Lonchura striata: one gene and its partner. The protein of the gene in region 1 binds, or shares a complex with, the protein of each later gene. Links are inferred from orthologs where the notes say so. Each region holds a gene or a part of one and is shown in the gene's direction. Other genes may lie near its edges.

Evidence for each region.
Region 2: PPP4R2 (region 1) and PPP4R3B share a complex: the UniProt entries of both Homo sapiens proteins name them as parts of the PP4 complex. The link is inferred for Lonchura striata from reciprocal best matches to the Homo sapiens genes PPP4R2 and PPP4R3B.

Annotation. Positions count from the first base shown.
Region 1 is NC_134614.1:20,820,725-20,827,974, forward strand, and holds the start of PPP4R2 (serine/threonine-protein phosphatase 4 regulatory subunit 2), read left to right. Parts: upstream 1-4,206; 5' UTR 4,207-4,350; coding exon 4,351-4,384; intron 4,385-5,081; coding exon 5,082-5,163; intron 5,164-7,250. UniProt on the Homo sapiens protein: Regulatory subunit of serine/threonine-protein phosphatase 4 (PP4). May regulate the activity of PPP4C at centrosomal microtubule organizing centers.
Region 2 is NC_134605.1:27,036,701-27,044,667, forward strand, and holds the start of PPP4R3B (serine/threonine-protein phosphatase 4 regulatory subunit 3B), read left to right. Parts: upstream 1-4,877; 5' UTR 4,878-5,125; coding exon 5,126-5,267; intron 5,268-6,578; coding exon 6,579-6,634; intron 6,635-7,967. UniProt on the Homo sapiens protein: Regulatory subunit of serine/threonine-protein phosphatase 4 (PP4). May regulate the activity of PPP4C at centrosomal microtubule organizing centers.

The DNA of each region.
Region 1 (7,250 bases):
TGTACTTCATACTTGTGGCTAATTCCTTGTTAATTAGCTTTCATTTATCTTAATAATGGGATGTGTAAATACTTACAAAGACTTTATGTCCTCATTTCCCCTTCCTCTCCTGTGTTTTAGTTATTTCCAATGGTATAATGGATAGAGCTCACCAGCATTTTGCTTACAGGGGAAACTGGAAACTGCTCAGTGTGTGTGTGTGTGCGCACAGCACAAGCATGTCTGTAAAAAATGTCCCTTTTCTCTGTCACTGAATTGCTTGTGGACTTTTCTTTGACAAGTGCACTGATTGTTACAGCTCCCAAGGAGGCTGAGCAGTGCATTTCTGAGTTGAGGATGATCCCTTGGCTTACAGTACAAATAAATGAAATTTTAAGCAAGCTCTATAATTTGCTAGTTTTCTTTTAAATGCAAGATTTTGTGCTGGTCTGGTTGGGGTAGAGTTTTGTAGGTGTGATGTTTTAGTGTGTGTATACTGGGTTTGACAGCAGGGAACACAGATAAATGTTGCTCTTTTACAGTTTTACTGTAGTGAGAGAGTCTGATATTGGATATAAAGAGACAAATGCATTTAACTTTCCCCAAAGTGCTCGTGTGTCATGCTGCAGCTCCAGCTGTGTTACAGCGAGCATAGATCAGATCAGCATACTTCTCTCAGAGGAAACTGGAGTTTTATCTTTTACTCTTTACTGTTTCTCCATAATGTTTCACTCCTTGGAGGTAATTTAGTATCATTTCCCTTCCCTTCTTGTATGCATTTTTTTGACGTTCTTGTATGGTCACTGCTGTGCTGCCCTTGCTTGTGACACCCCTGTGTGACAGAAGCTCCTGGGCTGTCTGTTCCCAAATCCTGCTGCTGACACTGGTCCCAGCTGGGTGCTGTGTTGGGCTCAGCTCTCTGAAATCAAGAATGGATGGGCAGAGGTGGGCCAGCTGTAAAACACCAGCCTTGTGTGGGTTCTGGGAAGGCTCTGGGTGTGTGGGGAGTGTTACACACTCACAGTCACACTGCTCAGATCCAGGCTTTTTCACTTGGCAAAGTTGGCTCCAGCCAGTATTGCTGTGGGGAGAAGAGAGATTTCCCAAGCTGGGAATAAAGTACAACTAACTGAAAGAAATAAATCTTGACACTTTCTCAACTGTCAGAGAATCCTTTTCTCCTCTCCATCAGGTACAATAAAATGTGATGGTGGTAAATAAAGAGTGAGCACCCTCCAGAGGTGAGATGGGATGGGGCAGTCACCAGGATAGTCCCTTCAGGGAAACATTCCCCACTGCTCTTGGGACAAGTGCTGGGATCAGCCTGCACCTCCCGCTGGCACGAGATAAGGAATTGTTATCTGAGCTTCAAAAGAAAGAGTGATGTTTGGAAGTTTTGCTTTCATTCTGGATCAGAATAAAAACCAAACTGTCAACACTTCCTTTGAAATGAAAATGGAGACAAAACACCAAATTGAGAATCAGCATGGAAGAAGAACAAAGCACTTTGTTAATGTTTTGTTTTGAGGTGAAATATTTTGGTTTGACTTTCACATTTCTGTAAACGTACCTTAATTGTTGCTGTTACTTTGTGAAAACTGCACTATAGCCCAAAAGTGTAGTAATTTCAGTATTAATTTGTATTAATTCTTTCAGTATTAATTGGTAATTAATACTGAAATAATGGCACAGAAATGACATGGCTCTTTATTTTAAAGACCTGTTCTTGTAGAAGCATCTCTTCCGAATCCCCCTGAAAATGTTAATTCCCTCTTGTGAGGGTTAGAACTGTGCACAACAGGTTCACACCTTCTTGGGGTTCACACCTTCAGGGAAAGATCTCCTTCCCATTCTGCTCAGCACTTCCAAAGGGCACCGTGGTTCCTCACACCTGAGGCTCCAGGTGCGAAAACAAGGCTGGTTTTAGTCTGACTGATCCCAAAGTTTGTGGCGTGATGTCAGGAATCTCCTGTCCCAGGGATATCCTGGGAGGAGGGGGTGAAATACAGCTTGGAAAGAAAACTTGGCCAGCCAGTTTGCCACAGGCTCTTGGATTAATAGGAGACAATCCCTGGGGTCCTGCTGGGACCAGTGGCTGAGCCAGGTAAAGCCTGGAATGTTTGTCACATCTGACTATTCCTTGGGTATTTGTGTCTCCTCTGGGTAATCTTTCAAAGAAACAACTCCCACAAATACCATTTTTCTCTTTTCAGCCTCTTTTTTTAAAGCACTCTGTGTGAGCTGTTCTCATCTTTTGATACTCCCAAGTCTTCTGATTTTTTAAAAGCACAATAAAGATGTTTAGTCATTGTCTCAGAGGAGAAACATAATTTGTCTCGAGGTGGCTGTGATATACTTTAAAGAAAAAAACCCAAAACTTTCCTTCTCTGGATGTTTCAGAGATCCATGATTTTTAGTGTCAAGTTATTGTACCATACTCATGTTCTGCAGCTATAAATTTAAACAAACCAAACAAAACCTCTATGCTCCCTTTGATGTGTATTGATGTACAATATTTTCTGAAGACCTAAGTGGGTCTTGAAATATAATATTGTTGTCATTTTCTTATTGTTCTCAGTGGATTCTGCTGCATCTCCCTTGCTTGAATGCTGAATTGAATTGCTACAGATTGTTTCAAAGCACAGCAATCAATTTTGGTTCAAACTGGGTGGAAATACCTTACAAATTGCTGTCACACTTCAGTGAAGGGAAACTGCTTTAAGTCAAGTCGGGTCAGGGATCTCTAGATACCTAATCTAAGCTTCATTACTCAGAGCAGAAGTAGCTGCTGGTCTTACACCACAAATAATTTTAATTATTGATTCATGCCCAAGGGTTGAACAGCCTATAACTCTCAAAAAGTATGTTTTTAAATCTGAAGCATAAATCTTAATGAGGCTTAGTGTAAATTCAGTGGAAGAAACAAACAAAAAAACCAAAAAAAACAACCTGGATTGTAAAACAGCTTCTCATTGTCTTTACCTAGATGTTTAAACCACCACATCTTCCCCAACAAGGTTATTATTCTTATTCTTGGGTCTCAGTGAATACTCCACAAACAGGCTGGGAACTGACACAAAATGAAATCATCCTCTTTGTGTACATTTTTATTACAAGGTGTGTCAAATACCTTACAAGGAGTAATTATAATTTGTTTCATTAATGAAGAAGCTCAGGTGTGATTGCCTCACCCGTTTGCCTGAGATCACACAACAAACCGATGATGAAACTACCTACAAGCTTTTTGTGTCCTAGGATTACTTTTAAATGTTTCAGCTTTGAAAATGGAAGGAAAATGTCATTTGCTGTGAGCTGAACTCTTTCCTAGGTAGTAGAGGGGTTGGGATAGAACCTTTTATCTGCTCTTTGCCAGAAGGAGTGACAGCTCTTTCCTCTGCCAGGGCTTTGCATCCTCAGAGCCAAGAGCTGGCACAGGATGGGCGAGGGGATCATCCATCCCCAGGAGCACAGGGAATATGTGGGAAGGAGGAGAGTGAGCGGAGACCTCACTGGGATGTGCAACATCCTCGTGTTTGGGAGCAGAGGGGACCGGTCCCCATCTCTTTCTTCACTCTCGTGACCAGTGACAAGACTCGAGGGAATGGCATGAAGCTGTCGGGGAGGTTTGGGTGGGATATTAAGAAAAGATTCGTGTCCCAAGACTGTGGTGGGGCACTGCCCAGGCTCCCCAGGGCATGGTCCCAGCCCCAAGGCTTCCAGAGCTCCAGGAGCGCTTGGACAATGCTCAGGGTGGGATTGTTGGGGTGTGTGCGCGGCCAGGAGCTGCACTGCATGGTGGACCCGTTCCAACTGGGGATCTTCTGTGATCTCCTTGAGGTTAAAAAGGCACGTCCTTGCACAAACAGGGACTTGGGGAGGGCAGGAGGAGCGCGGTCACCCTCAGTCAGAAAGCGAGGAGGAAAGCACGAGAGCTCTCTGAGGGGCCGGCGCGTGAAGGGGAAACGGCTCCGCGTGGCCTGCCGCGAGGATCCGCAGGGCAGGGCCGGCATGAGGAGGACGATCACCCGCGGCCGGCAAGCCAGCCGCGAGCCGCCCTCAGCCCGCCCGAGCCCTTCCCGCCGCTTTTCCCGCCGCCGTTCCCGCCGCTCCCTCACGGCCGCCGGCCCCGCCCATTGGCCCCGCCCCGCCCACGCGCCCCGCCCATTGGCTCCGCCCCGAGGCTCCGCCCATTGTCTCCGCCCATTGGCTCCGCCCCCGGCGGGCGGGGCCGCGGGGCCGCGCACGGGCACGGCGCGGGCGCCATGTTGGAGCGTCGCTGAGCGCGGGGTGCTGCTGAGAGCGCGACCCGGTCTGCGCGGGACTGGGGCGGGGGAGCCGCGCCGAGCCGCGGGGGAATCGCCCGGGCGGACCATGGACGTCGAGAGGCTGCAGGAGGCGCTGAAAGGTGGCGGCCAGGCTGGTGGCGGGGGCTGGGGGAGCGGTGTCGCCGCGCTGAGGGGAAGGCTGAGGTTCCTCAGAGCCTGTGGGGGGAGCGCCCCTCGCTGAGGGCGAAGGGTCCCCGCGCTGTGGGGAGGGAGCTGCTCGCTGTGAGGGGTCCCGCAGAGTGGGGAGAGGCCAGGAGTCGTGGGGAAGTGGAGGGCAGAGCCCGCGGTCTCCCTGCCCAGCGACCCTCGGGGCTGCGTGAGGGGGATCAGCGACTCTCGGCTCTGCCCGGCTGCCGCCCTGGACACCCCGGTCCGGCCGCCCCTTCTCCCTCATTCCTGCCCCTTCCCCCGCATCCCGGCCCCTTCCCCCGCATCCCGGCCCAGCCCGGACCTGTCCCCTTCTCCCTCCGCAGCCCTCTCTCTTCTGGGCTCAGCTTGAGCAAATCGCTCTCTTTCTGTGCCGTAGCTGCTCGGAAGAAGTTGCAAATCAACTTTTGCTACTCTGCTGCGTGCGGTTTCTCCGCAGGAAAAATAATAAGTGTTTCCCAGGGCTGAGGAGCTGGTGGAGTTCATGGGAACAGCCGGGGCATTGTGAGAGCACAACAGTGTTTTTGTGGGAGCTGTACTGATAGTTCAAGCAAATCGCTAATTATTGTGAATTTTTGTTCTGTCCCATCTTCATTTACCATTCTTTTTGTGTCGTTCTCATGCCAACAGATTTTGAGAAGAGAGGAAAGAAGGAAGTGTGTCCAATACTGGATCAGTTTCTTTGTCATGTTGCTAAGACTGGAGAGACGATGTAAGTGTGACTGTTTTGGTGGTCCTCAGTCGTGACTTAAAACAATTCTTGCATTTTACGTCATTGAGATTCTACCAGGATTCTTTTTTTTGCCTGTAGGTTGCTTCAGTGGGCTAAATAAGCTTTCCTCAGTTCCCATTTAATTTTGTATTGATTAATTTAGTTTGCTGATAGTTTGATCTAACGAGGGGAGACTTCTCGTATAGGCTTTGCTCTGATGTGCCTGTCAGGTCTTACTGATCCTACTCAGCACAATAAAAAACCTGTTGCTTTCCCTGGATTTTTGAGAGAGATTCAGGTTTTGTATGTTACAAGTTAAGCTGCTGTTGCAATGTTTTCTATACACTGTTGTATAACTGTGTTTGCAGTATCTACATTGTGTTATTTACATAAAGATTGCAGTCGCTCACATTGTTTCTTTCTGGGCTCTGTAACCATCCTGTGACTGTCTGGGCGCTGCTGCTGAAGCGGGGACGATCCGGAGGCGCTTTTGCGGACGGGGATGTGTGGGAACCGCGGGGAGCGCCGTGTTTTTCCCTGGTGCGGAGGGAATTTCCCTCGTGCCGCCCTTTGCGGCCGCTTTCCCGGAGCTTTCCCGGGAGGCAGCGGAGGGAGCCGCGCTCCTTGCGGGGCTCGCTGCTGGTGACTTCCTTGCGGCTCACTATCTGGCAGGAAGGGGAAAGGCTTCCCGGCTGCGCTGCCGGATTCGTGCTCACTTTCTGGCGCCCGGGCTGTCTCCTTGTTTTTGAGGCCTAGTGCCAGACTACGGCTCCAGCAGGGAGATATGCTTTTACGAGTGTTTTGTGATCAACCACCGACCCGCAGGGGCTTTGTTTGAGTTTCGAGAGTCCCGCCAACTTATTAGAGGTTCTGGTGATTTTTTTTTTTTTGGTAGCTTGCTAGTGCTGCTTGGATTAATGGTTTAGAAAGAAAAACAAGTTCTGAAATGTACTTTGCTCTTTGAATAGAAGGCTCATGCTCAGCAGACATACACAGCTGTAATGCTTCATGTTTTGGTGTAGTACTTATTATACAGAAAAAATACACCACAGTAAGCCCATACTAAAATATGTTTAAAATATTTTTTCCCATTCTGAGGTATTTCTTCAGGTTGTTTTTACTGTTTCTGCCATTATCATGTATATTCCAAAGTATTTTTTAAAAAGTGATTCTATAGGGCCAAATTATTGGGAAAATTGTATCCTTTCTGATTTTATTTTCATTTAGGAAATCTAGGTTTATTTTTATTATTTTTATTTTATTTTTACAAACTTAAACCTCAGCTGGAGTCTGTAATCTGATATACAGATCCTGCCTTCTGTGTTTCCAGGGTTTTCTTGCAATTTTTTTTTTTTATATAGTTTTTTTAAAAGGTGTTGGATGTGAACATCAGAAATGCCTAATATAATCTGGAGATAGGCATGGAAATACTGTTTTATAATACTGTATTTGCTTCAGATTATCTGCCAGAGTCAGTATTTGGTCATCAGACATGTGTTCATCAGACTGATGTGTTATGTATCACAATATCAGGGGGAAAAGTGAGTAAAAATTAAAATCTCCTGGAAATCACTCATATGAAGATTACTAACGTGCCTTTTAAGAGCTTAATGTATTTTTAAGCTGGTACAGCTTGACAAGTACAAGTGTTCTGGAATAGGCAAACCTACCAAATACATGCAAATTTAAAATGCACTAGATAATCTTTATTTTGACTTATGTAAAAACAACTTTGTTGAATAGAATCTAAGCCAGTAATAAATAGATACTTTGGAGTGAGAAAATAAAATACTCGTTTGTAGTGACATTTGTTAGGATTTTTACAAAGTCAGAGTATAGTTAAAAAAAACAAAACAAGCAGGGATGATGGTTTAGTCAGGGGTAATTACACCCATGGTTTGCAGACTTGATTATTGAACAATGATCTTACTCAGTCACAGCCTGTTCCTAATGTAACAAACAAAAAGTACTGAGGCAAATCAGGACAAGTGAAATGTGAAATATTTTTGTGTTCAGTTGTTAGTTCTAGGAGAGTTACATGGTCTTCATAGGAGTTCTGTCAGCTTTTTAATTTCATCACAAATGCT
Region 2 (7,967 bases), on another chromosome or scaffold:
ATTGGTTCAAATGCCTTGATGGTCTCTGGCAATCTGGACAGGCTTCTCTGTCCTAAACAAACTTACTTATTCAATTCCAAGATCCTTTTTCTCTACCTTTTAAAGAAAAAAGCCCAAAGAGGGCATTGGAAGAGAAGAAAAAATAAGTTGCTTTCCTGATTAAGTCAACAGTAGAGAAGATTTCAGTCAATTAATGAAATGGCCAAAGCTCTTCCTTAGAAGTAGTTTTCCAGCATGTATTTGACTGTTAGAGGGCTTATGCCTCAGCTTTTCCCAAAATTTATGTGAGTTTTCTTGTTCTTGGAAAGCTGCTAGAACAGGAAGGTGTCTGATGTTAAAATCAGGAGCAGTTAGCAAGCTTGGCAAATGCACAGTGCACCAGTAGGAACTCAAGGCAATCTGTGGCAACCTTCTAGGAATGATTGACAGCACAAAAAGAAGGGAAAATTCACTGAATCTCAGTTTTAAGGAACATCTTTGAATCTCATACCTTGATATAATGAATTGGTTACAAAGTGTTTTCTTTCTTTCAGGAAAAAAGGTGTGATGGTGAAAATACAAGTGACCTTTGCTAGAATTTCTACATGTCCTCACAAGAATCTGAAGGTGGATGGTAGTAAATCATATTTATAAAATAGATACTTATTTATGCTTAAAGGTGATGTAGAACGTCAAGGCCTTCAAGTTGATTAAAAACTTGAAAATAAAACCAGGAGCAAGCAGTGCCCTCATCTTGTGTAGCAAGGTTGAGATGAGAATACAAGAACATGGAATTCTGTAGACTGAGAAGATATTTCAGTGCTAAAGGTTATTCTCCTTTGAGTTATCCACTCAAAACTGTGAATATGAGAAGTAAGAACTGAACAACTCTTCTGTGGGAGAAAGAATTATCCTGTATGCTTGGTCAAGAGTCACACTTGGCCAAAGTTTTATTGGCTTTTCAGTGCACAAGAATGTTGAGCAAGTCATAAAGACTTAGAAGTGTCACCTTTAACATGATGGACTCTGTTTTAGATTAATACATCACTCTTAAAATGTTCAGACCTGTAGCAGAATATATCTCAGCATATGTGAGCAGAACTTGGCTGAAACATCACCCCTTATCACCTGGGTTCATTAGCACTGACTTTTAAAATGCATAATTAAAACATTAAAATTAAAATACTTTTTTTGGAATGAACAATTATGTGATAAATCTTTCCCTGAAACACTCTCATTAAGAATTTCTTAGTCCTATTAATTACATTGCATCAGTGAGTTCACTGATTTATTTTAGACTTCAAAACATTTCCCAGGGGCTCATGAGAGTGACTCGTTTTTCTACTGTGAGGTACAGACTTTGAAAATCAAACAGGGTCCTTCTGATGTTCACCAATTTGTATGCAGGACTAATAAAATCAACTTCCCACCTGGTGGCAGGTGGGCTCTGAACCACCTGAAAGAAAAAATAAAGCATGGGGGAGAGAAGTGGGAATGTACAGTAAAAAATTACTCCTTTTTTAATTCTAACTTAAATATTAAAGAAAGAAATTACTGGTATGCTGCTCTGTAGTTGTTCCTGTCTTTCATGATGTAAGATTGAAAAATAGAAAAAGTTTGGAAAGATTGACGAAAGATTTCTTTGGCAATCTTTTCTTCCTCTTTGAAGGCTGTGTCTTATTATTTCTTAGTAAGAATTCAGATGTCACTTCTTACTGTGACAGTTGACTGATACATGATTGTTACATATGAATAGTGTTAATAAAATTATGTAGGTCAATGTTAAAGTCCCTGAACAGAAACTCAGATGTTGCCATTTCTGGTGACTCTTCCCAGAAATGGACCTCCCCAATCTAAGTGGATTTCCAAGGTTTATCTCCCCTTATTGTAGACTAATTTCTGAGAGGCTGTGTTGTGGAGCTGGTCTCAGTAAAGCAGCTACTGCAGTGCTGGGGCATTGTCTGTTTGGTGGATGATGATAAAGGAGCAAAATTACCTTAATGTTGCTGTGGCAGAACCTGTACAGTCAGCCTGACTTTCTGCATCTGGAACCAGCTTTAGGCCCTGTGGGAAGGGGCGGGGGAAGAGCACACTTGGGAGCTGGCTGGGAGGAGCAGAAAGCAGCTGCTCTTACCTGAGGAGAGAAGCTCAATGGCAGCCAAGAGTTGAGTAAGCGTGTGCTGCTCTGACCCTTCCTGGAGGGAAGGACATCCCAGGCTCTCCTAGAGCCGGTGCAGGGCCGTGGCAGGAGGAGCTTGACTCTCAGGTGGGATCAGCTATGATCAGAAACCAGGTGAGTCCAGAGTGCTCAAGAGAACAAGCTCAGTGATTTATTTCTTCTTTCTTACTGCTCAACATAATTAGCTTCTGTAATGACCTGTCTTAAATGGAGCCATTGAGAGAAATTGCCTTGGAGAGAAGCTGGGCAGGTGCAGCATTGCAACAGCTCAGGAGGGCCAGAAATGCCTTTTATTTGACAAGTCTGAAATTTTCGTGCAAGTGCAAAGAGTCAGGAGCTGGTGTGTCTTCAAATGTCAACAATATATATTACAAGTACTATCATAAAAGTGTAAGAGCTGGCCTAATTGTACTTCTGGGATCACCTGCCAGAGGGAATGATACAGTCTCTTAATTTCACTCTAAGAAATTTTAAATTATTTAGGAATTAATTGCCCATCTTGCTTGGGAAAACAAAAAAAGGCATTCCACAGCTCATGTAGTGACACTTGTGAGTTGCTCTGTCTTCTGTCCACCCTAACGAAATCCTTTGCTTTGATGAAGAACAGAGAATTCTCAGCATTGATAACTTGATGGTGGTAATGGGGATGATGAGCTGCTGGCAGGTGCACTGTGGAAAATGTTGCTTTGCTTTGTCTTAAAGAGCAGAGGCTTGGATGCTTTCCTGGTCTTAGCCTGGGTTTAAATGCAGTATGTAACATTTGTTGGGGCAAGTATTGCATGTTTTGTCCAGGAAAGGCCCCCAGAATTGACTTGCTGGTTCTGGGTACCAATGGCAGGGTCATCCTGGGCTTTACAACCCCCTGGATGCTGTTTTGGGTAGAGAGAAGCCCCACATCTGAGTGAGCACAATCCCAATGACTTCTGGAGTGATATTTTCCACAGAAGTCATTGAATTCATGCCTGGAGAGATCATAGATTTATTTCACAGCTGAAGTGTAAGAAATAGTTTTTCATGCTAGTTCTGATGCGCATACCTCCTTTCTGTAATTCACCATAAGAATTTGCTCCAAAATACTATGCTGTGGTTTCTTGCTGTTTTATATATCCCGAGAAGTGCTGCATTTAGTCATTAGTAGGAGTCATGCTTTTATTTTTGTGCATTTGATTTGAAGAGCCAAAAAGCACGCACAGAAGTCATGCAGAGGGGAGAGGGAGTTCATGAGCAGCAGATGTCCTGAGGCAGAAATATGTTGTGGTCATTGGGGTTTGTGTTCCTATTTGTGTGTTTGCTTTTTATTGAGCTTTCTCCAAGGTAGAAATATGCTCAGTTTGTAATGCCTTGTGAGGAAGGCTTGTGTGGAACCTGACTGTAAACTGGTTCATGTGACTCTCAGTCCAGGATTTTGAAACCACTTAACACGGTCTTTTTATAGTTACTGACTCACTTACCCATAATGATGCACATGTCCCAAGGTGTGCTCCTATACAGCTAAACATAAATGTATATTAAAATTCTAAGAGTTGTATCTTGTATTTTCTTGGTGACTGCTACAATGAACATCAGAGCAAAAGCTGAGACTTGAATGTTACTTAGATGTTAAGTTTTTTTAATCTGCCCAGAGAATGTTTGGAAAAGCTGCAGGTAGTTACTTTGAGGACATAGTTTGGGAAGCACTTTCTTTCGCTTGCTTTGGAGCCACATTTGAATTTGAGAGCATAGAAATGCCAGTCGTGTGAATAAGGGCCATACCGGTGTAACTGCTTTCACCGTGAGGCAAGAGCCAGGAAAGTCTGACTTTGTCTGGGAATGAGGCACACCCTGCCCTCAGGAGAACTTGTCCTCCCTCCTTCCTCTTCAGAGCTTCAAGAATTTGGTTTGGAGACACACTCAAGCTTCCCCTTGTCCCCAGTTTCTCACTGTTTCACACAGCTTTACTCCTTGAAAACTTTTGGGTCGTTTTTCCTTATTCCCACGCAAGCACGGAGATGTAATTATTTATTTGTTGTACAGAGGAAACGTGTAGATGGTTTTTAGTGTGAAAAACTTAACAGGTACGGACTCCGCGATGCTTGGCAAGTGGTCTGTGTTAAACTGTATGCTGTGTATAAGAGCTAATTAAGCACGTTTCTCTCATTTTTGAAGATTCCCCAGCAGTTTAGCTTTCAAGCCTTCTGTGGAGATGTACCAAGCAGGCACAGACAGCGTGTTACAGTATGGCTGCTGCTGTAAGGAGTTGCTGCTCACTAACTTTTTGCCGTTTTGTGATGCAGGGGACACCTTTTGTTCCTAAAAATTGAAACTGTTTCAGTTCTGTGTGCTGTTTAAATTTACCCTGGTCGGGTATGGAGCGCGCCCGTCATTTTGTGTGACGGCCGTGGGTGGCACTTTCTGTGGCGTGAGGGACGGAGGCGTGTTTCGTCAGCGGTGGCGCCAGCCTTTAGACAGACTTAAAAAAAAGAAAAAGAAAAAAACGAAGAATTTTTTAAAAAAATTAGTTTTTTTCGGGGGAATATGTGAGCAATTCCCCCTTTAGGGCGTTAAAAGGCAAGTGATGCGCCCATATCCCCTGCGGCGGTCGGCAGCCGCCATTTTATCCCCACCTCCCGTTCCCGCCTCGGCGCCTGAAGGAGCGCGCGCGGCCCCGCCCCCGTGGCCGCCGTCCCGTCGGCGGCGCGGCGGCAGCGCGCGGCCGCCGTAGCCCCTGCGAGGGGAACCCGTGCCCGGGCGGGGAGGAAGAGAAAGGCGGCCCGAGCCGGGTTACAAGATGGCGGCGGCGCTGTAGTAGCTGCCGAGGCGGAGCGGCGCCAGCAAGGCCCGGGCCGGGGCGCGGCGGCGCTGACTCGCCATGGGAAGCGGCGCGTTAAAGGCCCCGCGGTGCCTCTGAGCGGCCCGGCGGCCCCGCTTGCTCTCCGCCGCCCTCGCTCCATCGCCCCCGCGGAGGCGGAGCGGGCCCGGGGCTGCACCATGTCGGACACCCGCCGGCGGGTGAAGGTCTACACGCTCAACGAGGATCGGCAATGGGACGACAGGGGCACCGGGCACGTCTCCTCCAGCTACGTGGAGCGGCTGAAGGGGATGTCGCTGCTGGTGCGCGCCGAGTCAGACGGTGAGAGCGTGGCCGGGGCTGCCCAGGCCGCTTCCCCTCGCCCCCCGCCCGGCTCGGGCCCCACCGCCGGGGCTGCCGCCCGCCATCGCCGGGCTCGGCTGATAGTGCCTTCCCTTGGATCACGCACGAGGATTACTGTTGTTGTTGTTATTATTTCTACTCTCCGTGCCTTCCCTTGTCTTGCAGCTCGCGTGAAGTTTCCTTACCACATAAGCCATAGCAGCGTTTGCTACTGTGGTCCTAGACTTTTCCCCTCCCAGTTGATAGAATTATGAGCTGGAAGGGACCCATCAGGATCATCAAAGTCCAGCTCCTGGCCCTGCACAGACCTCCCAACAATCCCACCCTGTGCCTGAGAGGGTTGTTCAGGCGCTTCTGCAGCTCTGGCAGCCTCAGGACCATTTCCTGGGGAGCCTGGGCAGTGCCTGGGCAGTGCCTGACCACCCTCTGGGGGAAGAACCTTTCCTTGATGTCCATCCTAAACCTTCCCTGACTCAGCTCCATGCAGCTCCCCAGCCTGAACAGAGATGAAGCTGTGACATGTGAGGACATTTTGTTCTCTTTCAGAGCAATAGCCTTTGCTTTTGAGGTGTTCTAGTCTTCCATTTCTTACTGCTGTGAAGAAGTTGTTTTGCTGCCCTTTTTCTCCTCAGGAATTCCCTGGTTGTATTCCAGTCGGGTGGCATCCCTTGTGTTTTATTGCACTTTAAAGTCACCTTAAAGGGTCTTTTTTTAGAGCGGGGAGGTATATGCTCCCCACTTTGTCAGCAGACAGGTGCTAATGTGCTAAATAAACCACCTAAGATTAGTATAAATTGCTCTAGAGCTGTTGCCAGGAGACATACACTACTTGCATACACAAGATGAAGTCCCTGCATTTGTAGTAGCTGGATGATTTACCTCTGAAGGGCAGCTGAAGGGAATAAAAGCAAGTGGCCCATGTGGCTTCTCTGGACAAAAGCATTTTTTATGCTGGGCAGCACATTACCTGCTGGAATTTGCATTAGTTGGCCTAAAAGACCACTAAAAAATCTGGTGCTTGCACCAGATTTCAGAAGGAAAAGAGTGCTACAGTGGATTTTGGAATAAACTAGAAGAGAAAAATGTATTTTAATAGGGATCTTCCTGTTGAATTTTGTCTTATCTGGCTTATTTTAGGAAATTATATTTAAAGGAGGTGGTTCTTACGGATTTTCTGTGAGATTTGGATTAAGCTGAGAGTCTGTTGGCTGGCACGTGGGCATTGGTGCGAGGTGTGTGGAGATGTTTGTTTTGTTGGATTCAGTAAATCTCTCTTCGTACCTTTTTCAGGTTCACTACTGTTAGAATCGAAGATAAATCCAAATACTGCATATCAAAAACAGCAGGCAAGTATTGCTAGGCTTTACTTTCTCTGGTTGCTGATGCTGAGGAATTGTTTTGTGCTCAGAGTAATTGCATTTTTTCAGGAAAAAAGGAAAAGCAGGAGGACATGCAATTGTTGATGGTAAAAAAATTGCTTAGAAGCCTGTCGGTGCTGAACACTTCACATTCTAGAAATTAATATGTGTGTCTTCTAGAAAAATACTTTTTGGACTTCAGACTTTGAAGATAATATATGCAATTTGAAGAGACATTGAAATCATTACAGGAAAGATAGTTGGAAACATGTATGTATAACTTTTGTCTCCCATGCCAGGCCTGAAATAATTAAAATTATCTGAAATAATTAAAATTAGGGAGGCAAAACTTTGACCAGCTCTGTTGAAGTGTATTTATTTATTGATTGAGTTATTTTTCTGGAAATAACATGAAGGAATTTGTCTTTGTGGGATTTCTTTCTTTGTTGTTGCTGTTTAGTTTTTATTTGAAGCCCTGAAAGCTCCTGTTGTCCTAGGTAAGGCCACAAGCCATGGTGAAAGTTACCTTTCCTAGGGGTAAACCTCCTGCAAGACAATGAAGTAAAATAGTTGAGAGCTGTGTTGATAAGTTATTTTTGTTTCATCCATTGAAAAAAAATCAGCTTACTGAATCTCTTCTGCTTTTATTGTTTTCCCTTTTTCAGCATGCATTTTTGATGGCTCTGCCTGCATTGTTCTCATGGGTTTTCTGGAATTTTTTCTCACTGTTTCTTTGCTCTACAGTAGAGTCTCAGTTCCTTCAGTGTTTGATACTTGTTCTTCATCGTTATGGTATCCAGAAGTGTTTCAGCACTGTAAAAAACAGTAATTTTGTTCTTCCCAAGTCACAGAGGGACACATCTCTGAGGATTTTGTTATAGTGACAAGTTACAGTGTAAGAATTTGAGAAAGAGACTTTTTATCTTGTAGACATTGGTTGGCTCATTTTAGGTTAGGCATGAGGTGGAGTTTTGGGCCAGTCTTTCCAGGGGGTGTTTGCTGTGGTTTCTGGTGTTCACTTGTTAGGGGTTGGTAGGTGTAGGCTTTCACTGGGGGGGGTCATGCTAAAGAAGGAGCTCTGCAGAGCTCCAGAAGCCAAGAGTCTTGAACTGCTTCCTGTTTACTAGAGGAAACCTATACACAGTGAAATACAAATGCAGATTTGTTGCTGTAAAGTTTTAAAATGCTTCCTTTCACACCCTGTTTCCTGAAACTACAACTGATTAATCGTAGGCCTTTTTTACTTAAGTGGTAGCAAAGTTTCAAGTGACTTAAGTAGCTTTTGTTACTATTTTCCTTGTGGAAAAGGTAGATCATAGTT